3 linked regions of the Canis lupus familiaris genome follow. The protein of the gene in region 1 interacts with the protein of each later gene in a pairwise test. Links are inferred from orthologs where the notes say so. Each region holds a gene or a part of one and is shown in the gene's direction. Other genes may lie near its edges.

What was found.
Region 2: the proteins of RGS19 (region 1) and GNAZ interact in a two-hybrid assay, tested with the Homo sapiens proteins (2 studies listed by BioGRID). The link is inferred for Canis lupus familiaris from reciprocal best matches to the Homo sapiens genes RGS19 and GNAZ.
Region 3: the proteins of RGS19 (region 1) and GNAI1 interact in a two-hybrid assay, tested with the Homo sapiens proteins (2 studies listed by BioGRID). The link is inferred for Canis lupus familiaris from reciprocal best matches to the Homo sapiens genes RGS19 and GNAI1.

What each region holds. Positions count from the first base shown.
Region 1 is NC_049245.1:48,359,710-48,370,994, reverse strand, and holds RGS19 (regulator of G-protein signaling 19), read left to right. Parts: upstream 1-5,771; 5' UTR 5,772-5,825; intron 5,826-6,151; exon of another isoform or gene 6,152-6,271; coding exon of another isoform or gene 6,272-6,274; intron 6,275-6,597; exon of another isoform or gene 6,598-8,518; 5' UTR 8,519-8,586; coding exon 8,587-8,616; intron 8,617-8,790; coding exon 8,791-8,912; intron 8,913-9,832; coding exon 9,833-9,907; intron 9,908-9,984; coding exon 9,985-10,219; intron 10,220-10,295; coding exon 10,296-10,487; 3' UTR 10,488-11,052; downstream 11,053-11,285. UniProt on the Homo sapiens protein: Inhibits signal transduction by increasing the GTPase activity of G protein alpha subunits thereby driving them into their inactive GDP-bound form. Binds to G-alpha subfamily 1 members, with the order G(i)a3 > G(i)a1 > G(o)a >> G(z)a/G(i)a2.
Region 2 is NC_049247.1:27,903,148-27,906,227, forward strand, and holds the end of GNAZ (guanine nucleotide-binding protein G(z) subunit alpha), read left to right. Parts: intron 1-735; coding exon 736-1,080; 3' UTR 1,081-2,580; downstream 2,581-3,080. UniProt on the Homo sapiens protein: Guanine nucleotide-binding proteins (G proteins) are involved as modulators or transducers in various transmembrane signaling systems.
Region 3 is NC_049239.1:20,210,658-20,221,842, forward strand, and holds part of GNAI1 (guanine nucleotide-binding protein G(i) subunit alpha-1), read left to right. Parts: intron 1-3,036; coding exon 3,037-3,194; intron 3,195-7,104; coding exon 7,105-7,233; intron 7,234-11,185. UniProt on the Homo sapiens protein: Guanine nucleotide-binding proteins (G proteins) function as transducers downstream of G protein-coupled receptors (GPCRs) in numerous signaling cascades.

The sequences.
Region 1 (11,285 bases):
CGGGGCCGGCGCCCCCACACTCCCGCGTAAAGAGCTCATTGTCCAAGCCCTCTGGTCGTTGTGCTGCCTCGCTCCAGGTTCCCAGGAGGGAAGGGGAGAGGATGGATCTGCTGCCTCCCCACATCCACATCCCATGTCACAGAGTGGGGGACGATGGACAAGGTGTCAGACTCAAGGAGGACGCCCCCACCTGCTGCCCTGGGGCCCATGAGAGCCCCCAGGAGGGAGAGTCTCCCTGGGCAACCGTCACAACCCCAGCAGTTAGGGCAACCTCAGGGTGAGAGTAGGGCCCAAGTGGGACCCCAGATTGTCGGTCATTTCATCAGGGGTCCCAGAGAAGGGTGACAGACTGGGCAGGACGAGTGACCGCACAGCCTCTGTGGACAGCTGTGCCCGCGAGGCCCTCCAAGGACAGCAACTGGGGCAGAAAGGGAGACCCCGTCAGGAAGGCGCCGACCTCTCCAGACAGAAAAGCAGCTTTTCATTCCGAGCGACCCCGTCAGCTCTGCTCGATCCCCCCACACACGTGCACACACACACGAGGGAAGCAGCCTGGTCCCACTCTGACAAGTCCACGTCCTGCAGACCCTCTGAACTCAAGTCTCTCCCAACCTTCTGGACAGATCTTCCCGTGGGTACTTACTCTTCCCTCTGACACGAGCGCTTTGCAGAGCCTAGAACCGGGCCACGTCTCCCCTTCTCTTCCCTCCTAGTCCCTAGGCGGGTGGCAGACGTGGGGGCCCGCAGAGGTCAGGGCGGCAGGGGGGCTATAGGGATGCAGACAAGCCCCCACCCCTGCCGGGGAGGCCTGTGAGTGGCCCTCCGTCAGCCCTTCTCCCTGTGCACCCCGCATCCTTCTGTGCCATCGCTGTCCTTGGCCTGGAGGCAAGCCCAGAACCGTGTGTGGAGCTGGTGTCCGTGGCAGTTCTGGGGGGGGGGGGCAGTGGGGGGGGGACGCAGAGCTGGGGAAGGAGGAACAGAGGGAGAACGGGTGGCCTGGGCTGAGGACAGGCGGGCGGGGAAGGAGATGCTTCCTGCCGTCCAGGAGTGGAGGCCAGGACGACAGGCAGCCCTGACCCCCCGGGACGCAGCACTGTGTCCTGGGGACGTGCTGACCACCTCGTTCATCTGTTTGGTAAATGCACATCTCGTTTCATCACTTCTCTGAGTCTCCATTTCTCTCTCTTTAAAATAGAGACCTCAGGGTCTCACCTGGGCTGTGAGCGAGCGGAGAGGGCCCCATACGGGTGTGCTCACTCCACATCAGGCAAGAACACAAAGCCCCGTGGAGGAGCCCAGCAAGAGGGTGGCCTCACGGGCAGCTGAGCAGCGGGCACTGAGCTGGCACGGGGGAAGGCGCCCAGCTCTGCAAAGAAGGCCAGGGAAGGTGGCTGAGGACATTTCTGTGGGGCCCAGGGGAGGCCTCTGCTCCGGGAGACGGAGGGAGCAAGTGGATTCCCGGGGCTGGATTCACGTCCCAGATAGAGGGTCCTGGGTTCAAGTCCCGGACCATCACCTGCTGCATGACTTTGACCAAGATTCTGCCCAGCCCATCTGGATTCCTCCTGTGGACCGGGGATACGCTCTGTTCAGGGACAGACTCCCCAGAGAAGCTGCAGGAGACCCAGAAGGGCTGGGGCGAGGGGAGCGGAGTGCAGGGGAGTGGCCGGAGACTGTACAGTGTCTGGAGGGCGGGGAGGGTGGAGGGAGTGCACAATGAACGGCATGAGGGGGAGAGGTGTGCCGACCTCCCCCCACCGTCCGCTGCCCCCCACATTTCTCAGGAGGTGGGTGTAGACACCACGCCAGTCACTGTGGGATCAGACTGGCTGTGTGACAGATGCTGGCCTGTCTCTGAGGACCTGCCTCCCCCGACGGTGACCTAGGCTAAGTGAGAAGCAGCCACCTCCGGCTGGACAGGCTTCCAGCCTCTGCCCGGGCCGGGCCAGCCTGTCCACTCGAGCTGCCAGATAGCTCTGCGGGCATGCCGGCCAGGGTCCCTGGGCACACAACATGAGGGGGCTCCCCGGCCCCCAGGCCTGTCACCTCCGTGACCGCGTCCCACGCTCCCTTCGGGCTTGGCCTACAATCTCCCGGCGCCCCACAGCGCCTCCAGCACCATCCTCCCCGCTCTGATAACGCATCCCGGCATCCAAGCACCCCAAAATCCCGGCATCCCAGCACCCCGGCATCCCAGCATCCTGGCACCCCACACCTCAGCATCCCAACACCCAGGCATCCCAGCACCCCAGCATCCTGGCATACCGGAATTCTGGCATCTGGCATCCCAGCATCCCAGCACCCTGGCATCACAGCACCCTGGCATCACAGCACCCCGGCATCCCAGCACCCCAGCATCCCAGCATCCCAGGACCCCAGCACCCCAGCATCCCAGTACCCCAACATTCTGGCACCCCAGCATCCCAACACCCCGGCATCCCAGCACCCCAGCATCCCACCACCCTGGCACCCCAGCATCACAGAAAACTGGCATCTGGCATCCTGGCACCCCAGCATCCCAGCATCCCAGCACCTCAGCATCCCAGCACCCCAGCACCCGGGCATCCCAGCACCCCGGCATCCCAGCACTCTGGCATCCCACACCCCGGCATCCCGGCACTCCAGCATCCCAGCATCCTGGCACCCCAGCATTCTGGCATCCAGGGCCCCGGCACCCCAGCATCCTGGCGCCCCGGCACCCCAGCACCCCGACATCCCAGAATCCCAGCACACCAGCACCGCAGCATCCCAGCACACTAGCACCCCGACATTCCAGCATCCTGGCACGCCAGCACCCCGACATCCCAGCATCCCAGCACCCCAGCATCCCAGCACCCCGGCATCCCAGCATCCCAGCACCCCGGCATCCCAGCACCCCAGCACTCCAGCATCCCGGCATCCAGGCAACCCAGCATCCCAGCATCCCGGAATCCCGGCATCTGGCATCCCAGCACCCCAGCACCCCAGCATCCCAGAATCCCAGCACCCCAGCAACCAGGCATCCCAGCACCCCGGCATCCCACCACCCCAGCATCCCACCACCCTGGCACCCCAGCATCCCAGAAACCTGGCATCCGGCATCCCGGCATCCCAGCATCCCGGAATCCCGGCATCCGGCATGCCAGCACCCCAGCATCCCAACACCCTGGCACCCCAGCATCCCAGCATCCCAGCACCCCAGCACCCCGGCACCCCGGCAGCTCAGCAGTCCAGCATCCCAGCATCCCGGCATCCCGGCACCCCGGCATCCCAGCGCCCCGGCATCCCACCACCCTAGCACTCCAGCACCCCAGCATCCTGGCATTCCGGCATCCTGGCACCCCAGCACCCCAGCATCCCAGCGCCCTGGCACCCCAGCATCCCAACATCCCAGCATCCCAGCACGCCAGCACCCCGACATCCCAGCATCCCAGCACACTGGCACCGCATCATCCCAGCATCCCGGTGCCTCCGCACCCCGGCATCCCGACATCCCAGCATCCCAGCACCCTGGCATCCCAGGACCCCGGCACCCCGGCATCCCAGCACCCCGACATCTCAGCACTCCAGCATCCCAGCACCCCGGCATCGCAGCATCCAGGCACCCCAGGATCCCAGCACCCTGGCATCCCGGCATCCCAGCACCCCATCACCCTAGCATCCCGGCACCCCAGCATCCCACCACCCCAGCATCCCAGCACCCCGGCATCCCACCACCCCGGCATCCCACCACCCTGGCAACCCAGCATCCCAGAAACCTGGCATCTGGCATCCCGGCACCCCAGCATCCCAGCACCCCAGTACCCCGGCATCCCAGCACCCCAGCATCCCAGCACCCTGGCACCCCAGCACCCCAGCATCCCAGCACCCCAGCATCCCGGCACACCAGCACACCAGCACCCCGGCACCCCAACATCCCAGCATCCTGGCACCCCAGCACCCCGGCATCCCGGCACCCCAACATCCCGGCATCCCAGCACCCCAACATCCTGGCACCCCAGCATCACAGCATCTTAGCATCCCGGCACCCCAGCATCTCAGTACCTCAGTACCACAACACCCCAGCATCTCGGCATCTGGGCACCCCAGCATCTGGGCACCCTGGCATCCCAACACCCTGGCATCCCACCATCCTGGCACTCCAGTATCCCAACACCCCGGCGTCCAGCATCCTGGCACCCCAGCACCTCAGCATCCCAGCATCCTGGCATCGCAGCACCCCGGCATCCTGGCACCCCAGAACCCCAGCATACCAGCACTCCAGCATTGCAGCACTCCAGGACCCCAGTACCCCGGCATCCCAGCATCCCAGCACCCTGGCATCCCGGCACCCCGGCACCCCAGTATGCCAGCACCCCGGCATCTCAGCACTCCAGCATCCCGGAATCCTGGCAACCCAGCATCCCAGCATCCCGGAATCCCGGCATCTGGCATCCCAGCACCCCAGCATCCCACCACCCTGGCACCCCAGCATCCCAAAAACCTGGCATCTGGCATTCCGGCACCCCAGCATCCCGGCATCCCGGCACCCCAGCATCCCAGCACCCCAGCACCCCGGCATCCCACCACTCTGGCACCCTGGCATCCCAGCACCCCGGCATCCCAGCACCCCGGCACCCCAGCACCCTGGCATCCCAGCACCCTGGCATCCTAGCACCTCGGCACCCCAGCACCCCGGCACCCCAGCATCCCAGCACCCTGGCATCCCGGCACCCCGGCATCCCGGCATCCCAGCACCCTGGCATCCCGGCACCCCAGCATCCCAGTACCCTGGCATCCCGACATCCCAGTACCCTGCATCCCGGCATCCCAGTACCCTGGCATCCTAGCACCTCGGCACCCCAGCACCCCGGCACCCCGGCATCCCGGCATCCCAGCTCCGCGGCATTCCAGCACCCCGGCATCCCGGCACCCCGGCATCCCAGCACCCCGGCACCCCAGCATCCCGGCACCCCAACATCCCGGCATCCCAGCACCCTGGCATCCCAGCACCCTGGCATCCCAGTACCCTGGCATCCTAGCACCTCGGCACCCCAGCATCCCAGCACCCTGGCATCCTAGCACCTCGGCACCCCAGCACCCCGGCACCCCAGCATCCTGGCACCCTGGCACCCCGGCATCCCGGCATCCCAGCTCCGCGGCATTCCAGCACCCCGGCATCCCAGCACCCCGGCACCCCAGCATCCTGGCACCCCAACATCCCGGCATCCCAGCACCCTGGCATCCCAGCACCCTGGCATCCTAGCACCTCGGCACCCCAGCACCCCGGCACCCCAGCATCCCGGCACCCCCCCCCCCCCCCCCCCCGGCGCACCTCCAGCCCGGGCTCCCGCGGTCCGTGCGCGCAGCCGGGCCCACCTCTGGGGCACCCATCACCGCCGAGCGAGGCGCGTGGGAGGTCGGCCCTCCGCGTGGGGGTCCCGGAGCGCTGTGCTTAGTGACCGGGTCAGCGGCGGGGCCTGGGCGCGGGGGCGGGGGCGGGGGCGGGGGCGGGGGCGGCCGGGCCCCTCGACAGGGCCGGGGCGCGCCGACCACCGGGGCCGGGGAGGGCCGAGGGCCCCTGGGGCGCGCGGCGGCGGGAGGGCGGGCGCGGGCCCCCGCGGGAGCGCCCGGGGCTGCAGGTGCGGGGACCCGCCTCCTCGGGAGGCCGCGGAGCCCGGGGCGGGGGCGGGGCGGGGGTGCGCGGGGCGGGGCGGGCCGGACGCCTCCCCGCGCGAGGAAGTCCCGGCCCCGCGCTTTGGGGAAGTGCGGCCCGCGCCTGCGCACTGCGGCCCGCGCCCCCTCCCCGACCGGCGGCCGGACCTGTGCGCGGGGCTGCGGCGGCGGCGGGGCCGGGAGCGCGGCCGGTGAGTGCGCGCGGGGGGTCGGCGGCCGGGGGGGGCGGCTGGAGCCCGGACCGCGCCGCCGGGACCGCGGGCCCACGTGGACCCGGGCGGCGGCGGGAGCGGAGCCGGTGCCCCGCGCGGGGGGAGGGGGCGCCGCCACCGGTTCCCCTTTCTGCAGCTCGGAGCCCGGGGAAGTGATTGCTCAAGGGGGGGCCGGAAGAGCCCCGGTTTCCGCGCCTCCCGCCCCCGGCCCGGTGGGGAGGGCCCGGCGGGACGCCCTGCGCGCCCCCGCCCCGCGCCTGGCAGCCGCTCGCTCGGGGCTGGCCGGGCTGACCGGGGCTCCCGCCGCCTCCACACCCCGCGGAGGGCCTCCCGCCCGCGGACCCGGGTCGCTGCAGCGCGCCCTTCGGCAGCGGGTGGGGCCCCGCGGGAACCGGCCCTCCCGCCCGCGCCTCGCCCCTGGGCCGATGGTGAGTGGGGCGCGCGGCCAGGCCCCGGGGGCGTCGGGCCCGAGTCGGAGCCGCGCCCCCCGGGCAGACCCCGCAGCGGCGGGAGGAGGAGGGAGACGGGTCGGCGGCACCGCGGCCCTGGGGGCGGGCGAGGGTCCCCGGGCCACAGAGGTCGGGCCCAGGCCGGGGCCGCCCCACCCATCGCTCGGGGCGGGGGCGGGGCGGGGGGCGGCCGAGGGGAGGCAGGGGCGCCAGAAGCAGGGGAAGGAGCCCCTGTCAACCCTCCGCCTAAAGGTTATGGCATTTTTTTCTGGGATTGTCACATTTTCTTATTCTTTTTTTGGACTGGGCGGGCTCAGGGACGTTCTTTTTCCTTCTGTGGAGCAGAGTAGCAGCAGCTCCCAAGGGAGCCTCGGTCCCCAGAGGCCAGGCTCGCTGCCCGTCCAGCCTCCCCCATCCCAGACTTGGGGGCCAGAGCCCAAGGGCTGGGAAAGGGGACCGAGCCCCTTTCCAGCTGCCAGGCGGAGGGGCAGGAGCCCTGTGCACACCCCGGGCGACCTCAGGAGACAGCGGGTGAACAGGAGACCCCGCCAGCCCCGGGCCAGTGTAGGCATCCACTCCAGGACCCCCAGCACGTGGGCGCCCTCAGACCTGGCCCCTCCTCCAGTTCAGAGCAGAGCCTTGGGGTGCCAGGGAGTGGAGGGGGATGGGGCCCTGCCCCCACTCGCAGCGGGTAGGGGTGCGGAGGAGGAAGAGCAGTTCTCTGCCTGGCTACCAGACCTCGGGGGTTGCCACACCCCTTCCCTTCCCTACAAGCTAGACCCCTGAAGGAAAGGCGGGCTGGGGCCCAGTTTGAGGGTTCCCCGTCCATGTCCATGATTTCAGGGGAAGCAGGCAGCTGGCCAGGGCCCTCAGCCCAGGGGACCCCACACTCTGCCCTAGATCTGGGTCACGGCAGGGCCTCTGCGTGCCCAGGCCCCAGAGGCAAGGGTGCCCTGAGCGTGCCTGAGTCAGGCCCTGCACCTCTGAGCACGGCTCCCGGCGCCCCCGGCATCCCCGCCGCTCCCTCCTTCCCACCTGCGAGACCCCAGCAGCCAGCAGGCCACGTGGGCCAGGCGGGGGTTGAAAGGCCACAGGCCCAGGGGTGATGTGATAATTACATGAGAAAACGAAGTGAAAGCAAGTCCTGAGCCTGCTGGCCACCGGGACGGGGGTGGGGGCAGGCCTGGGGGGTCACAAAGGCTGTGCGGGGGTGCAGCCGGGCCCTGGGGTCCTCACCCCGGCCAGGGCAGGCAGAGGCAGGTGCTGTGGTGGGAAAGCATTCAGACTGCCCCTGGGGCACTGATCGGCCACCCAGGTGTGGACTCTGGGATCCGCATGGACTCTGGGATCCGTGGTTGGCCTTGGGGACGGAAGGGGGGGGCTGGGGGGCTGCTCGGGCTCCTCACCCCCGCTGGGGGCTTCAGGGCCCAGTGCCCCCTGCACGCCTGCACCTTGAAACGTGGGCACAGGCATTGTAAACAATGCCGACCCGCACCCCGTCTGGGGATCCCGCACCTTGACCCTGGGAGCTGGACACCCCGACCCATTGCTGCCCTCCTCCCCGCTCCCCTCCCTGACTGGCACCCCAGGCTGCACTGGCTTCCACCGCCTGGTGGGGCTGGGGGAAGGGAGGCTGGGAGGCCCTGGGTGTGGTAAGGTGCCCGCTGGGGGTTGGGGTGCCAGGGGCAGCGTCTGGGCCTCAGGAGCCCTGCATCCCCCACGAGGCGCCTGGCCCTCCTCACTGTGCCCTGCTGCATTCCCCACACCCCCAGACCCTCAAGTCCTGCCCCACACGCAGGCTGCAGGCTGGGCAGCTGCGAACAGGCTGGAACCCTCCGGGGCTGAGGGCAGATCTGGGCACCTGGGGGGGGGCAAGCCCTCCCCACCTCGCCCACTCCCTACAGAAAACCCAGAATGGAGGGAGCATTAGGCTGATAGCCCCAGACTCTTGGGGCCCCCCAGGCCCCTTGGGAGGGGCCAGGAGCCGGAAACCAAGAAAGAGGAACCCAGACTTCCGGCTTCCCAGGGACCGAGCAAACGGGGGTGTCCCAGAACCTCCTGTGGAGATCTTGTCTGGCTCCTCCTCACCGCCCCTGCCCTTGCTCGCAGTCCCGGTGCAGGTGGGGGCAGGGGAGCAGGCCCCTCGGGCTCCTGGGCGGAGGGAGAGGCAAGTAGAGACTGTCGTCTCAGGTTCTCAGCGGGAACCCCCACCTCTCTTCTCAGACCCCCAGGCTGTGGTGAGGGTCCCGGAGCCAGCACCACGGAGCCCGGGCGACCTCCTCCACCCACCCATGCCCACCCCGCATGAGGCTGAGAAGCAGGTGCACCACCTCCACCCCTGCCTCTGCCCCCTTGTGGGAACCGGGGCGGGGGGACGAGGAGTTGGGGGACCCTCGACTGCCTGGGAGGCCGGAAGGGTGACACCAGGGGAGTCGGGGGGAGGTGTGCAGGCCCCAGGTTCTGGGCTGGAGCTGAGGAGGCCCCCGTGTCGCCAGCACGCAGGGCCAGAGGAGGCAGGCCGGCCCCCCTCGATGTCCAGTCATGACGCGGCCCCCCCGGCTGCCCCCAGCCGCAACCCCTGCTGCTTGTGCTGGTGTTGCTGTTGCAGCTGCTCCTGGTACGTGGGGACGGCGGGGGGGGGGGGGGGGGGCGGGGGTGTACACACCTGGTACGTGGGGATGGGGGAGGGGAGGGGTACACACCTGGGGCCCAGCGTCCTGCCCGCAGACCCTCCGGTGCCTTCCCAGGGGCCACCCGAGGGCAGGACGCCTCTGCTGCCCACGGCTCTCACGCAGGGGCTGCCGGGCCTGCTGACTGTGGCCACTGCCCCGACACCGTGTAGGCCTTCGTGCCCGGCGGCTCCCCCAAGGGCGTGTCGTGTGCACACCTGGCCAGGCCACCGCCTGTGTGCTCAGCCGGAGCTGGCCCCGGGGGCCTACGGAGCAAGGAGCCCTTGGGGGACACCGAGCAGGGCCCCGGCCTGGGGGCGAGGGGGAGAGCGTCCCGAGCAGCTCCCTAGGGTGGGCCCCACGGTCACCGGCTCTGTGGCCTGTGGAGGGCTGTCGGGGGCGTGCACGTGCCACAGAGGCCTGGCCCAACTTGGGTGCTGTGGGGACCTGGAGGGGGACCCGCTGAGCCGTGAGCACCCAGGCCTGAGCGGGGACGGGGTCGTGAATCGGGCCTCGCAGAGGACTCGGCTGTGGGGTCCAGCGGGTGGGGTAGGAGAGGAACGGAGGCCTGTGTGGGAGCTAGGGTTGAGAGGTCGTGACCCCGGGGAGGGACGGACGCAGGCAGGGCCGGCCGGGGCTTTCCTGCAGCAGGAGCAGCGCCTCTGGGGGCGCGGGGCGGGGGACGGCCAGGGAGACAGAGGAAGGGGTGGGGCTGGAGTGCAGCCTGGGTCCCAGGGGTGGGGGTGGGGGGCTGCCCGGCTGCGGCCCGGCCCGCGCCCTCACGCCCCGCGTCTGGGCCCGTGCGTGCACACGCGTGGGCCGAGGCCGGGTGCGCCGGGCAGGCCGTGCCACCTTCCGTCTGCGCCAGGAACGAGGAGCGGCGGCGTGCGTGGCGGGCCTCCCGGGACAACAAGCTGCAGCCCCTGCCCAGCTGTGAGGCGTGGTAGGTGCGGCCGGCGCGGGCGGGGGGGGGGGGCGCGGGCGGGGCGCGGGCCTGACTCCCCACGGGACTGCCCACAGCGCCACGCCAAGCCCCGAGGAGGTGCGGAGCTGGGCGCAGTCGTTCGACAAGCTGATGCACAGCCCGGCGGGCCGCGGCGTGTTCCGGGAGTTCCTGCGCACGGAGTACAGCGAGGAGAACATGCTCTTCTGGCTGGCGTGCGAGGAGCTCAAAGCGGAGGCCAACCAGCACGTGGTGGACGAGAAGGCCAGGCTCATCTACGAGGACTACGTGTCCATCCTGTCCCCCAAGGAGGTGCACCGCCTTGGGGACCGAGGGCGGGGGGAGGGCGGGACACCCCGGGCCCCTGACCCCGCGTCCTGCCCCACAGGTGAGCCTGGACTCCCGGGTGCGGGAAGGCATCAACAAGAAGATGCAGGAGCCGTCCGCGCACACCTTCGACGACGCGCAGCTGCAGATCTACACGCTCATGCACCGGGACTCCTACCCCCGTTTCCTCAGCTCCCCCACCTACCGCGCCCTGCTGCTCCGGGGGAGCTCCCAGTCCTCGCACGAGGCCTAGGCCGCCCGGCACAGCAGCACCGACACGGACCCCGGCGGGGGGCAAAGACTCGGTGACCCGCACCAGTGTGTGTGTCAGCAGGCGTCCGGCACGCCCACAGGCGCAGCACCCCTGGGGGCGGCCCCGGACGGGAGCCCCCGAGGTCCCGCCGAGGGGCAGGTGTGAGGGCCTCCGGGACGCTGGCTGGCCGGGGGCTCCTGCCGGGGCTCCTGTGCAGGGAGAGGGGCCCCCCGGGGGGGCAGCGGTCACGGATCCAGAAGCCTCCCCAGGCAGCCGGGGACCTTGACAGACGCCTTAGATGGGAAGCAGAGCCTCTGTACTGTCGAGCTGTGACGCAAGGACACCCTCCAACTCACGCTGTCTGCACCCAGATCAGACCCAGAACCTCAGAACTAGGCTCAAGGCAACAGGAGCCAGTTTCTTTTTTATATTTTCATTAATTTTAAACCTGGAAACATATCCTTACTGTATTTTATCAAAAAAAGAAAAAGATGTTTTCATATTTATCTCCATTCCTTCTTCATCCAAAATAGGATCTTATTATTGAAGATATTTTTAAAGCAAACGTCTCTCCTTTCTTTCCACATTTGGGGGGAGACTCAAGAAAGAACAACCGTCCCAGATCCAGGAGCAGCCCCAGAAGGGGCTTGGCCCCCGTGAGGACGCATGGGGGCGTCCTCCTGGCCTCCTCGAGGCTCGTGCTTGCCACCCATTACCTGAATTTCTGGGAGGTGAAGCAACTCAAAGCTGCAGCGGGTGCGGGGCCCACCCCACCCAGTCCACCGTCAGGCACAGAGT
Region 2 (3,080 bases), on another chromosome or scaffold:
GGCAGGCTTGGGAGTCAGATGCGTTATGTTCCTTAAAAACTCAGTCACTACAACCCATTTAAGGTCCTCTGAAAGAAGGGGTGTGAATAAAGGGCAGTGCCACTGGGGTCTCTGAGCCTCCTGGGCCGCTGTCCTCACTTGAGCCCAGTGGCGTGGCAGGGGCAGGGGGGTCCGGGCCTTCCTCAACTCTCCGGACTGGAGCCTTGGGCCTTGGGAGCGCAGGCTCTCCGCTCAGAGATCGGGCTGAGGACTGACGGTACCGGGTGACAGGATCGAGACTTGGAAGACAGGCCGACGCCCAAGAGGGCCAGACTTGCCGGCGGGGCAGGAGCCTGGCCACACTCACGTAGAGAGAGACGTGATGTGATGGCAGCTCCAGGCCCGAGCTAGCACGGGACAGCAGGAGATGGGGCCCTCCACGTGAGTATGGAGTGGCACAGGTCCCTACAGCGGGGGGGAGGCCATGCAGCAGCCCCACGCCACAAAGGAGGGGCCAGCTAAGCGGGACAGCCCCTTACAAACAGGTGTCAAGGTGCCGAGGGCGGTGCCAGCAACTTTAGGGGCTCGAGAGCCCAGGGGACGCAGGTGAAGACAGACCTGGCCTGGCAGAGAAGGCCTGCCGGGCAGAAGGGTACTAGGGGGACCCTCCGGGGGGCCTTCTCCCGGGAGGGCTGCGGGCCTGGGGCCTTCCCACACTGCACCCCCTGATTAACACCGGAATTGTCCTGCCCGCAGAGTCGAATGGCAGAGAGCCTGCGCCTCTTTGACTCCATCTGTAACAACAACTGGTTCATCAACACTTCGCTCATCCTCTTCCTGAACAAGAAGGACCTGCTGGCGGAGAAGATCCGCCGCATTCCGCTCACCATCTGCTTCCCTGAGTACAAGGGCCAGAACACGTACGAGGAGGCCGCTGTCTACATCCAGCGGCAGTTCGAGGACCTGAACCGCAACAAGGAGACCAAGGAGATCTACTCCCACTTCACCTGTGCCACAGACACCAGTAACATCCAGTTCGTTTTTGACGCGGTGACAGACGTCATCATACAGAACAATCTCAAGTACATAGGCCTTTGCTGAGGAGCCGGGCTGGCCGGCTGGCCTGTGGCGAAACCCCCGGGGTGTCACACCCCCCCTCGCGCTAGGGAGACCCAGCCCAGGGGCAGAAGACGGGGGCCTGAGGAATGGCCCCCCGTTCCCGCAAACATAAATATATATGGATAGATTGCTAGGTAGGTAGACACACACACGCGCACACACACGGTCTGGAGATGGCAGTTCCCCGGAGCGCTGGAGCCTCTAGAAGACTTCGGCCGCTGTCACCAGGTTCACTACAGGCCCTTCCTGCCCCGTCACCTTGCCTTCCCGAGTCGGCCCTGCTCTGCATGGGGGTCCCCGTGGGACTCAGAGGAGAGGCGGCTGGGTCATCCGGAGGAAGCCGGCTGCGCCCAAGCGTCGGACTGGGGACCTTGCTGCTGACCCGGAGGGAGGACCGGAGCAGGGTCCATGCGCCTTCCCCGCTGGCCCGCCCTGTACCACGGCTGTTCTGGAACCCGGGTGCAAGGCCAGACGACAGCACTAACCAGACCTCTAGCCACTCACAGCTCTTTTTAAACAGCTTCAAAATATGCAGCAAAAATCCACACAATAACACGAGTGGCACCATTTGTCTCAAACTAGGCCAGCTGGGTTCCAGCTTTTCTTCTACTAGTCTGATGTTTTATAAATCAAAACCTGGTTTTTTCTTCTCCGACATCCTTTTTTTTGGCCAAATCTCGTGGTGTTTCGCAGAAATACGGAAAATTTCAAATGCAGTTGAGTATTCTTTTTTAAAATGCAGATTTTCAAAACCTATGTTTTTTTTTCAGGTGGTCCTTTTTTGTGTCTGGCTTGCTGAGTGTAAAAGTTGTTATCTGAATGAGTCTGTCCCTCTGCTCCCGAGCGACACTGGGGCGGACGGCCGCCCTACGGCAGCGTCGCGGGGCCGCGTTGTACATAAGCTCGTGCAGCGTCCTCTTGTTACGGTGCGGTTTCTGCTTCGTTTTTATTTCAGAAAAATAAATGTGATGTATTTAAAGAAGGTTCTTCACCTAGGAGCGAATGAACAATAGCTAAATGTCTTGGTATCTAAAGAGTAAATTATCCATGGCTTTGCAAGTGGAGGAAAGGGGGAGCGAGAAATGGGGCCCCGGCCCCCGCACGCCCTACACCTGAGACGGGCTGAGAGCTACGACAATTCCTGTGAAGGCTCAGCCCGCGCAGCCTGAGGGAGGCCCTGCTGGGACCTCGCACTCTGGCCCTTCCTGTCCCAGGGCCTGTGGCACCCGCCACCACCGAAGGACCTTGGCCCAGGGCCGCATGTAAATATGAACCCCCGCCGTCAAGAGGGAAGGCACCGCCAGAGCCCTTGCCAAATCTCCTTTGCCCTCAGCCTCTGTTCGGTACCTGTATGTCCAAGGTCAGTGCGTGGAATCACAGCCAAGGACTTTAAGAGATGTACGGAGGGAAAGAGGAGCTGGTGATTGTATGAAAGTTAAAGATTGTCTACTTTAAGAAAATAAAATATCCTGAATGAGCTAAGCTTTGTCCTGGCGTGCTATGTGTGCGGCTGGCCTGTGGGAGCGTGCCCGGAGACACACCTGTATGCCCAGCTTGCTTTCTCTCCTCCAAGTCCACACATTCATGCAGAATCACTTGGAAATGACCATCAAGAATAAACAACCTCAAGCAAAGAAAGAAACTGCAAGAGATGGGGGCCATGTCTGGCCCATGTGTCTAGAGAGGCTGAGGTTTGGGGGCGATGATGGCTGCGAGACCCCCACCCAGCACTAGCCCAGGACACCTCAGCCCAGGGTCACCCAGACCCCTCACACCCCAAGACACCTCTGCCAGGACGCTAGAGGTGGAGAGCCTGGAGGGTGCTGCAGGATGTGGGGAGGAGGGGTACGTACCCCACTGTCCTGTCTGCTGACTCTGGCTTGTGGGGTTAGAGGCATCTCCATGTGGTGGAAAGCACTACTGAATAGTCCAGCAAGTTTGTTCAGCCCGCATCAGGCTCCTTCCAGATTGTTTGAACACCT
Region 3 (11,185 bases), on another chromosome or scaffold:
TGTTCCCTGACCATCAGTGGGAAAAGGGGCCCTATTACATGTCTCTTGACACCGAAGCATTTCATAATTCCTTTCTGAGTTCCCAGAGCACATAGTTATGTGAACTGGAACTTATATTTTCTCCATCATCTGATTTTTTTTGTAGTAGTTTGAAAACATACTAACTTGGCTACTCCTGGATTTTTCCTTGCTACTCACAAATTGCCTGGCAAACGCTTCTTTCAGCAACATAAATGACTACCTGTTCTGCTTTACTAAGCTGTGTCCCTTCTGATTAAACTTCAGTATTGTCTTTGGTGATGCCAATATTTTTCTACCCCACGTCACACTGTTTTGATGCACTTATGTTTAGCTTTCTAAATGTTTTAAGAAACATTATTTTACATAAATTTTGAAAAGATCTCGTTCCATGGCCAGGTAGGATCATTGTTATCATTCTGCAGTTTTAACATTTGTCTTGTCTTGGGCAATGGCTGTTTACTGACTCCTTGCTGATTTGTGTGATTGGGTGAGCAATTAGCTGTGAAACTTTAAATGAGTTGCCTCATCTCTCTGTGCCCCAGGGTCTTTTTATACAAAACAATAATATAGGTAGAATAATTTCTAAAGTACACTCCTGCTTAGATTTATTACCTTAAAGTTCATCTACAGACATCTGAATGTCCTCCTAATGACATGGAAGTGAATATTTTAATTAGCCTCTTAAGAAAAAGAGACCAAAAAAAAAAAAAAAAGAAAAAGAGACTACATTTTGTGAAGAAGACATTTTTGAATGCAACAGAATATAGTTTATAAATATACTTTCCAAAGTCTCTCATGTTTTTTCTTCAGGCTTCTTTGTAGAAAGTTTGAAGAGAATGTGATCTTATGACCCATACCACAGGGCATTAGTGTTTTCTACCAAGAAATTTTATTGAAATTGAATAAATATGAGGAAAGCTCATTAAACCTCCTAAGTAAGGGATGCCTGGGTAGCACAGTCAGATAGCAATCGACTATTGGTTTCAGCTGATGGTCATGATCTCAGGGTCCTGGGATCAAGCCACACGTGGGGCTCTGCACTCAGCATAGAGTCTGCTTGAGATTCTCTCTCTCCCCTTTCCTGCCTATCCCACTCGTGCTGTATCTTTCTCTTTCTCTCTCAAATAAATCTTAGAAAAGTATTTTTCACTTAGTAGACTTTTTTTTTCTTTTTTTAAGATTTTATTTATTTATTCATGACAGAGAGAGAGGCAGAGACATAGAGGGAGAAGCAGGCTCCATGCAGGGAGCCTGATGCAGGACTCGATTCCAGGACACCCCCGGGACCGTGACCTGAGCTGAAGGCAAATGCTCAACCACTGAGCCACCCAGGTGTTCTGAAAAATATTTATCTGAAATGGATGGAGAAAATTATGTTTGATGTTCAATTAATAAAAATGACCAAATTTAAAAATTTCTCATATATAGGTAGTTATTTGGAAAAGTGAATAGTTGTTTACTGCAATTAGGTAAATGGTGCTAAGAATGACTTAAAACTCTATTATGTTAGCTTTTATTAAGGCTTGTTGTACATGCATTGCTTGCGTACATTGCATTTATCTTGTAATTTACTAAAAAGGGAAACATATGCTTGAATAAAAGGTTCCCATGCTGAGTTACTTAATTATTTTTCACTGTGGGTTCTATGGGAGGAAAAAAAAATTCACAAATTGGCAGCAAAATGAATTTATACTGTCAGCAAGTACTCTGCTATCCTGTGTCACCAAGTGCTTCTCTACTGTGTACCTTCCTTGTGTTTGCCATCACTTTATAAAAATGTACTCTAATACTTTGGGGAAATGCCCTTGAGAGAAATTAGGGATTGTCCACCCAGTTAACATAAAGCTACAAGTCTCTGGCTATAGAGAATCTCTGTGAAGTTAGCAACTTCACATCTCCCCTATTTTTGGATTAACTGTATTTTTACCTGAAAACTGGAATTGTGTTATGCAGCATTATAACTACTCCCCACATATAGTTATTGAGTATTGGAAATGTGTCTAATCTGAATTGAGGTGTGTTGTCTATATAAAATAAATGCCAGATTTTGAAGACTGAATATGAATAGAAATATGAAATGTTTCAATAATTTTATCTTGATTACACATTAAAAGGCTATCTTATGTACAGGTTAAATAAAGTCTTTTTATACTAATTTCATCTTTTAAAAAAATATGGCTAGTAGAAAATTTAGAATTGCATCCTTGTCACAACTCCTTTGGAAGTGCTCACCTACTGTGGTTGGTTACCTATGGATCAGAATAAGTATTTGTAGTCTCAAAACTTAAGGAAAATTTAATAACTTTATATGCATCATTCCTTCATTTAAAATATTTTGCATGCTGTCTTCAATATGCATCATGAGTATTTCTACTTCATAGCTGTGTTTGTATCCTCTGCCTGCATTAACAAACACCTGCTCCCACCTCCTGCCCCTTGGCTTTAATGTATACACATCTTAAGGTCTCCTGAAAATTTCAGATCATTCTGTAAAGCTATTATCGTTTATTCCACATTGATTTCTCCCTCTCTGAATTTCTTTTGCTTCCATAGAGAATATCAGAAAGCCAACATTTAATGAGATTCTCCCTTAAAATAATCTCTAGCAATGTTAGTGTGTTTCTTAGAAACATTTTGGGTGGGAGGGGTAAGGCATACATTAGTTCTCTGTTTGTAAAACTGATGAGTGCACAATAAACCGTCAGTGATAGCAAATAGCTGGTTAATGTGTCCCCTCATGACCTGTAGGTGTAAGTCATTCTTCTAGTTTCCTGGAGCCTTGACCGCTTATTACTAATATTACAAAACATAGACCTGCGATTTAAGGTTATGCTCTTTTGGTTAAGCCATTTTTTTAAGTGGTGCTTCAGAGAACTAAAAGCCATGACCCCAATGAAAAACAAAGGAAATGCATGATTGCACTTTTCGTAATCTAGAATGCCTCCCTCTGTACTTTTAATCTGTAATGTCTCCCTTTTTTACTTATTAAAAAAAAAATGGTCTTTGAATGTTCAGGATGATGCCCGCCAACTCTTTGTGCTTGCTGGAGCTGCTGAAGAAGGTTTTATGACTGCAGAACTTGCTGGAGTTATAAAGAGATTGTGGAAAGATAGTGGCGTGCAAGCCTGTTTCAACAGATCCCGAGAGTACCAGCTTAATGACTCTGCAGCATAGTAAGTAATCATGACTTCAGAACTAAACTATCATGAATAATTTCTTGCAAGTCAAATATACCTCCAAGTCAGTGCTATTGCAGAACTGGCTGACACATTTCTTGTAAAACTCAGGATATTCAGGATGACAGTATTTGAAAACTTTTCTGGATTTTTTGGTGTGTTTGTAGATAGCATTGCTGTTATTTCCTTTGTGTTCGGAGGTGTCTCAAGAGACTCACCCTTATGTAACTCTAATTGAAACATTCAGAATAGACTGTTGGCAGCATATTTCCAAGAAAGTAAACTGGAACTTTGCAAAGTTCACCCTGAATTTGAGCGTATCTCAAGTTTGTGTGGGGCCAGCCCAAGGGGAGGGGAGCTGATTTGGTTCTTTTCACTAAACTTAAAAGTGCCTGAGAAGAATTATTTGTCCAGTGACAGGCACCCTGCATGAGATGTACCTCTTTTAGAGGGGTGTATGGTGATCCCAAGATGTTTCCTCATTGAGTAAAATATCTCTACGCTTGAAAATTGTCAATTGTATGTGCTCTGTTGCATTAGATATCATTTACAGATAGCTAAGTACAGTATTTTGTAAGAAAAACCTGCCCTGATTTTCTAAGTGGTGGCCACTGAGAGTTCATAAAGCAAAACCTGGTCAGGGAGCTTTCTGCTTGGTGATCTAGCTACAGTAAAAAAAATAAATAAAAATTAAAAAATCAAGTGTTTGTTTCCATAATCTAGCAGACACAGTCAAAAATGTCAGATATGAGTAGCATTAACTGGTCTTAATACATGTGCTCTGTGCTCCTTTTACTTTATTCCATTTTCTTGACAGCTACTGGTGTTCAGGGACACAAATGAGGGTGAGAGAGAAGATGATGGTTACTAGAGAGGACTAGGTAAATACACCCATTTCACCACAGTGAGAAATAGGTTACGGCTCTCCCCAATTATCACTCAGCAGGTCATTGGCTACACATAAGAATACTCAGTTTCTGTTCTGTGATTTAGTGTGAGGGAGTAAATACACCTTACTGTGTAACCCATACCAATTTTTATTAGTATTTCCTATTCTATATATTTTTTTTAAGATTTCATTTATTTATTCTTTGGAGAGACAGAGACAGAGGCAGAGGTTAGAAGCAGGCTCCCTGCAGGGAGCCCGATGTGGAACTTGATCCTAGGAACCCTGGGATCACGCCCTGAGCTGAAGGCTCAACCACTGAGCCACCCAGGCGACCCCTAATCTGTATTTCTAATGCTTTATGACTATGTAAGCTATATAATATATACATATTATTTTGTATGTATTTTCTATATGTATATGTAACATGTTACTGAATATGTAGCTCCCCTCTCCAACTGGTGTCATCTTTTCTTAGGATATATGCCTTGACTCACAGATAGGTCTTTGCCTCCCTGTCTTACATACTTAAAATACAAAATATTTCTTTCAGAGCACTCACAGATTTACATTTGAGGTAATTTTTATTTGTGTTGAAATGATTTTCTGTCTCTGCCACTACACTGTAAATTCAGTGCGGTCTGTTTTCACCCTGTGTGCTTTCTCCATGACACACAGTTGTCATTTGCTATGCTCTTGTTTAATAATGAGTGAATGAATAAACCATACTTTACAGAAGCTCGAAGAGAAATTAGAAGAAAATGATTTACAGGAAGAACACGATTCTTAGACCATATTATTTGCTTTGGCACCACCAGCTCCTGCAGAAAGAGCTAAATGGGAATCACTCATGTTGAGAAGATTGCTCTGAGTAGAGCCCAGCTAGGGGAGCTTTTGCAGTAATTAAGGGGTCCTTCTCAGAGATGATCGGTTGAAGTCACTTTCCCTGTATGATGGGACTTCCTGGACCACTGCAGTCTAATGACCAAGACTTGTCCCGTGTGCTCAAGTATCGGGGTATGCACTGGAAAAATAAGTCATTTTGGTTCCCCAGTATTTCATTACTAGTAGTTCTGACTTCACGATGGCAACAAGGGAGCCACTTTTCAAGAATGAAGGAAGTCCTAGAAATCTTTTTCTCCATAGTGGTCACAGAGCCTCTTGATTTCTGAGTTTTGGGCTAGAGATGGGAGATGTTGCCAAGTTGCCCACTGGGACTATCTAACTACCAATTTACTTGAAATTCATGATCATTTTAAATAATTGGAGTTTTTCCCAATGCCGGATTAATTTGTGTTATTGAAATATGAATGTGCATTATTTTTAGAGACTATTGAGTAGCATTTTTAAGCAAATAAATGTATGGGAGTAATCAAAGTGCATTTTAAATAAGATTAACACACTATTTCAGAGGGACAATTCGTAAAATATTGCCATGTGTTTATTAGATTTTTTTTTTTACAATACTGTATATCATTATATATGTGGAATTAAAAACACAGAGTACTAGGGGATTATCAGCAATGTGATAATAAGATTATTTTAAGTTCAATAAATACAATGCAGATAACTCCAGGTATGCTCTATGAATTCTGGTATCAATATCACATACATATACTTAACTGTCTAAAACACTGTTGATTACTAATTCAGTGTTTCGATAGCTTTTCAACTCCATCTCTACAAATCAAATATTTATTGAGCTCCTTTTGTTTGTAAGATCTGTTCTAAATGGCTAAGGAACAGTTTCAGAAGATAACGTCCATTAAAGTTGTAGTAGTTGGTGCCTCTGTAATAAACACAGATGTGAATCTTCTAAATTATCTTTGACCACTGCACTCTAGTATCAGAAAACACTGTTGGGAAGCTTCCCATTTAGAATCAATTCCAGACTTCTCATTTGAGTTTATGCACAACTTCCTGGGGGCCTTACTTTGTGAGAAGCAAGATCTGACAATTCCTGCCTCCTCATACTGTTTGACTACTCTCCTGATCTGGATTGCATTCTTTTTTTCTGTTCACATCCCTCATCATTCAGATTTCTGTTTACAACCCTCCCCACCCATGAAGGCTTCTTTCACCACTCAGGTTCACATTACTCTCTTCATACCTGGACTTTCTATAACATTATTTACTATATAAAATGACACAGAATAATTTACAAAAATAATCGCATGGTATGACACCACTGCATTTTAGTAGCATAACATATTTGACATTGTTGGCAAAGAGTATTGAACGGGTGGGTGGCTAAAACCAGTGAGAAGTAAAATATGAATATATTTTTTTAAATATTTATTTATTTATGATAGACATAGAGAGCAGAGACACAGCAGGAGGGAGAAGCAGGCTCCATGCAGGGAGCCTGACGTGGGACTCGATCCCGGGACTCCAGGATTGCGCCCTGGGCCAAATGCAGGCACTAAACCGCTGAGCCACCTAGGGATCCCCAAATATGAATATTTATTTAGAGAACCAGTAAAATGCAGAGTAAAAGAGCGTGCGTAGTGTTTTCCTATTTGTAACTTAAAGCTGGCTGAAAAAGAATAGTATTGAATTTAGCCTTTGGCTGGAGATCTACTCATTACTTTCTCAAAAACTTCAGTCTTTGTAACTCCTCAACAAGAGTAATGTCCAGAAAAGAAATACATGCTACTTAAAAAAAGTGTAATAAAGACTTTTAAGAAGCTGACTCCTAGTGTACAATTGGTTGTGTGTGGTTTTTAAGAAATTATTCTGTTTTGTTTCTAACAAGGAGAATTACTAATTCGTGTCCTTAGGAAACAAAGTACACAGTACTTAGAAAATGTTAAAAGGGCTTTGTGGCTGGAGAAGTATACATTTTCATTTCAGTGGGAATTGTATAACATATAAACTTAAATTGGTTGTATTTTTACATCATTACACAGAAATATAAAAATTTCCATTGATTTATGATATTGCATGCATCAAAATGTTTTACTTCTTGATGTAGATGATCTTTAAGGGCTATATTAACTATTATTTTATTTATTTCTTCAGCTATTTGAATGACTTGGACAGAATAGCACAACCAAATTATATCCCAACTCAGCAGGATGTTCTCAGAACCAGAGTGAAAACAACAGGAATTGTCGAAACCCATTTTACTTTCAAAGATCTCCATTTTAAGTAAGTAGCTTTAAAGCATATCATTTACAAATTTAGGTATAAAATACCTTGTTCAGTAAAGAAAGGTGATTAGACAGACAATATTTTGGATGAAGAAGGACAGGAAACATTCTTAGGAATATTTAATTTTTATTTAAGAAAAAATGAACATGCAAATCTCTTGTTTATATTTTCAAAGTGATTTAAATAAAAATAATTTTTAGCTTTTATTTCTAAATAGAAAATATTGCTCTGATATTGCATATTTGGAGAAAGTGTTAACATGTATTCTTAGAATTTTACTGATTGTACATATGCTTATTTATGGAAATGGTAAAAATGAAGGGTACCTTTTAAAAGTTTTTATTCATTCAAATGTTTGCACTTTTTCATGATGAAAAATGTCATTTAGAGTATGCTAAATACTAACTTAATGAAGTTTGAGCAGAGAAGTACTGAATTGTAGCCTGTAGAAATGCAAGGGATCTCAGAACTTGTTTTGTCCAATACACTCATTTCATAATGAATGAGACTCAGGGAAGTTTAGTGAAACATTAATTTTCAGACCTATGTTCCTCTTTTTTAAAGTATGAAAAAAGTTATTGGACTGTGCTTCAGATAGCCCTAATGCTCTGAAACAGTTTTAATGAAGCAGAATTTCTGAAAGCACCTAAAGTTTCCTAGTCAAAGATGAAAATATTCTTGAAGGTCACTGTTACAAGTCGTGGGAAGTACAGTTACATATATGCAACTATACTGATGCAAATGTACTTCTGATTCCTTCTATAAGTATCTTATTTTTTAGGAGAGAGAGAGACAGAGCAAGAGCATGCGTGCACCTGAGGACATGGGAAAGGAGGAGGGGGAGAGAGTCTTAAGTAGGCTCAATGCCCAGGATGGAGCCTGGCATCGGTCTTGATCTCCCAACCCTGAGATCACGACCCAAGCTGAAATCAAGTCAGAGGCTGACCTGACTGAGCCCCCCAGATGCCCCTCTTCTATAAGTATTTTAAATATGTTTATTATCATTAGTCACTAATTTATCCCACTAATTTATCAGTGGTTCCTGTAATTGATTTTCCAGAAAACCAAAATTGAATTTTAATTTTCCATAGCAGCTTCCCTCCACCCTCCCCCAAAAAAAACATTGCCTGCTTTTTTTAAAAAACAGAATTACAATTCATAGTTTATCTGACCATGTAACTTTGTACTTAAATACATGATCAACTTTTTCATCTCCTTTTAATTCCTTTCTGTTTTCGCCAGTTTGTAAGCTGGCAGTGGACATTCTTTGGCTGGCAGTAGCTCTTACCAAAATCATTTACTTTCTTTTAATCTGTTCAGTACTTCTAGGATATTAAATGACCAAAGTGGGGAATAGTAAAACATTAATATTTAAATAGTCTGATAGGTCTGATCTGGGAACTATTATTATTACATTTATCTTAAAGTTATAATTTTAAGGAAACTTCACTGTCAGAATGAGGCTTCAAAGTTTTGGGGGTTTTTTTGTTTGTTTTTACTTAGATTCTGATTTTTTTTTTTTTTGCTTTTTGTTTACTCTTTTTTTAAACACCCTATTTTAAAAGCAAGCTTATATTGTTATGTTCAGCTAATGGCTTTAACAAATACAGTCTGAGGAGAAAATGCACGGAGCTGGGGAGAACGAGGGCAGAAGGAGACTTAGAATGATTCTGCAGGAGTTCCTGTGTTTCTCGTTTTCGTGTTTTGTATTGTAATTCGTTCTTTCATTTTAACAGCTGATGTAAAATTTCGGTTTCGCTTAGTATTTTGTATGATCAGAATTAAATTCAAGAGGAGGCAATAAGGCATTGTAATTTAAGAATACATATTCTCACCTCTCTGACTAGGCGTTTGTGGAAAGTGTCTGCGTGGATCATTTTGCTTTAAGGAATCAACCACTTTACTTTTTGCCAAATAGGGAATTATAGCATCCCTTCTCTTATAAAATTGTAAGATAGATTTCTCTTCCTTTTCTATAGTCGTATAAATGTGAAATGGGTTTTGGAGTACGTTATATGTATAGGGTGGATATGCCTGTAGGGTCATCTGGCTTCGTACCAGTCGGTCTTGGTCTCATAGGACAGTCTGAGAATATCAGAACATCTCAGAATCTTCAATATCCCTGTATACCTTTTCCGTCCCCTCCCCGAAAAAAAAAAAAAAAAAAAAAAGAAACCTAAGAAAACTCAAATTCATTCCCTCTTTGATGCTAGAAAAAAAACTCTCATCTGTTCATCTGAAGGAGAACATATTATTTTGTTCTGTTTTTGGTTAATTTAAAAAAAATCGGAATTTTAAGATAATTCTAATGTGTGAAAAAGGAATACTGCCTTATGCACAGTTATTTGTAACATCAGATTTTAGTCATTTTTGCTCCTTGGCTTAATGAGTTAAGACCAGTGATTCCCAAAGTATGGTCCCCAGATCAGCAGCATCAATTTTGCCCACCTGGTGATTCTGATCTACACTAATGTTTGAGAAGTACTTGTTTAGATGGAAGGTTCTTTGTTTATGACAAATCTATGAATGACCCTCGTTCATTGTTAAAATAAGCTGAGATTTCTTCTGTAGTTAAAATACTGGATTATCAAGGTAAAGCTCCCTTACACGTAACATCCCACAGCATAACTGGAAGACCTAGATCTTGAACAAGGAAATAAGGTTTGTCTATTATCATTTGAAGGCATTTTAAAATATTCTGTAGACGTAGTTCATTCACTCAACAAATATTTATGAAGTATGACAAAGTCTTGTCTTTACATTGTTGGGACAGGAGGAGGCAAGAATGAAGTAAATATTATAATTATCAGGAGGTAATAAATTGCTAGAGTGAGAAATAAAAGCAAGAGGGATATATTCATTCCTAGGGTAGCTGTCGCAAGTTTCCACAAGTGAGGATGGTATAAAGCAACATAAATTTATTCTTTCATAGTTCTGGAGCCTCCAAGTTTGAAATCCACATGTCAGCAGGACTGTGTTCCTTCTAGAAGCTTTACAGAAGAATCTTCTCTTGCTTCTGGTACTGGTTGGAAATGCTCTGCGTTCCTTGGCCTTGGTCACATGGCCTTCTTCCCTGGTTTTCCTCTGCTTCTCTCTCTTTCCTCATATTTTTTACGATAGCAACAAGGAGAAACAAAACCATACTCTGCACACTTTGCTAGGAAATTTCCTCAACTACTCTTCAAGTTCATCTCCTAACATCCAGTACTAGAGCCTTCTAGCAGAGGTTTTGTGACTCTACACCAAGGATTACCTTTTCTCCAGTGTCCAAGAATGTGTTTCTCACATTCCTTCTGAGAACTCCTCAAAAACATCTTTAACATTCACGTATCCTCTAAGGTAGGAAAGGACCCCACCATCCTTTGCACTCCCGAGATCTCCAAAATTGCTACCTTCTGTGTTGTATTTCTAACCAACCATCTTTTCAGAGTAGTCTGGACTTCTCTGTTGAGTGATTCAGGATCCTTCCAGCCTCTGCTTCTTACCCAGTTCGTTCTATAGCCACTTGTCACAGCAGCTCCCCACTGTGGGTCCTAAAATTTATATCAGTCAGGCTGGTCCATTTCAAGGAATTGACTCACGTGACCAGAGGGCTGGCCAGCGCAAGCTCCTAGGGCTCAGACAGGAACTGATGTTGCCATCCTAGGGTAGAATTTCTTTTCCTTCTAGGAAGACCTGTTTTTGTTCTTAAGGCTTCCAGCTGACTGGAGGAAGTCTCCCCACATTATCAGGGATAATCTTCTTTACTGAAAGACAACTGATTATAGTTGTCAACCACAGCAGTGATATCCCTTCACAGCGGCACCTACGTCAGTGTTGGACTAAATAACTGCTTAGCCAAATTGACACCTAAAACCCACCATCACAGGAGGAAATTGTGGGAGGGGGTGAGATGGGTTTGGTTGTTACTTTATATTGAGTGGTCAGGATATTCGTGCCATTGGATCAA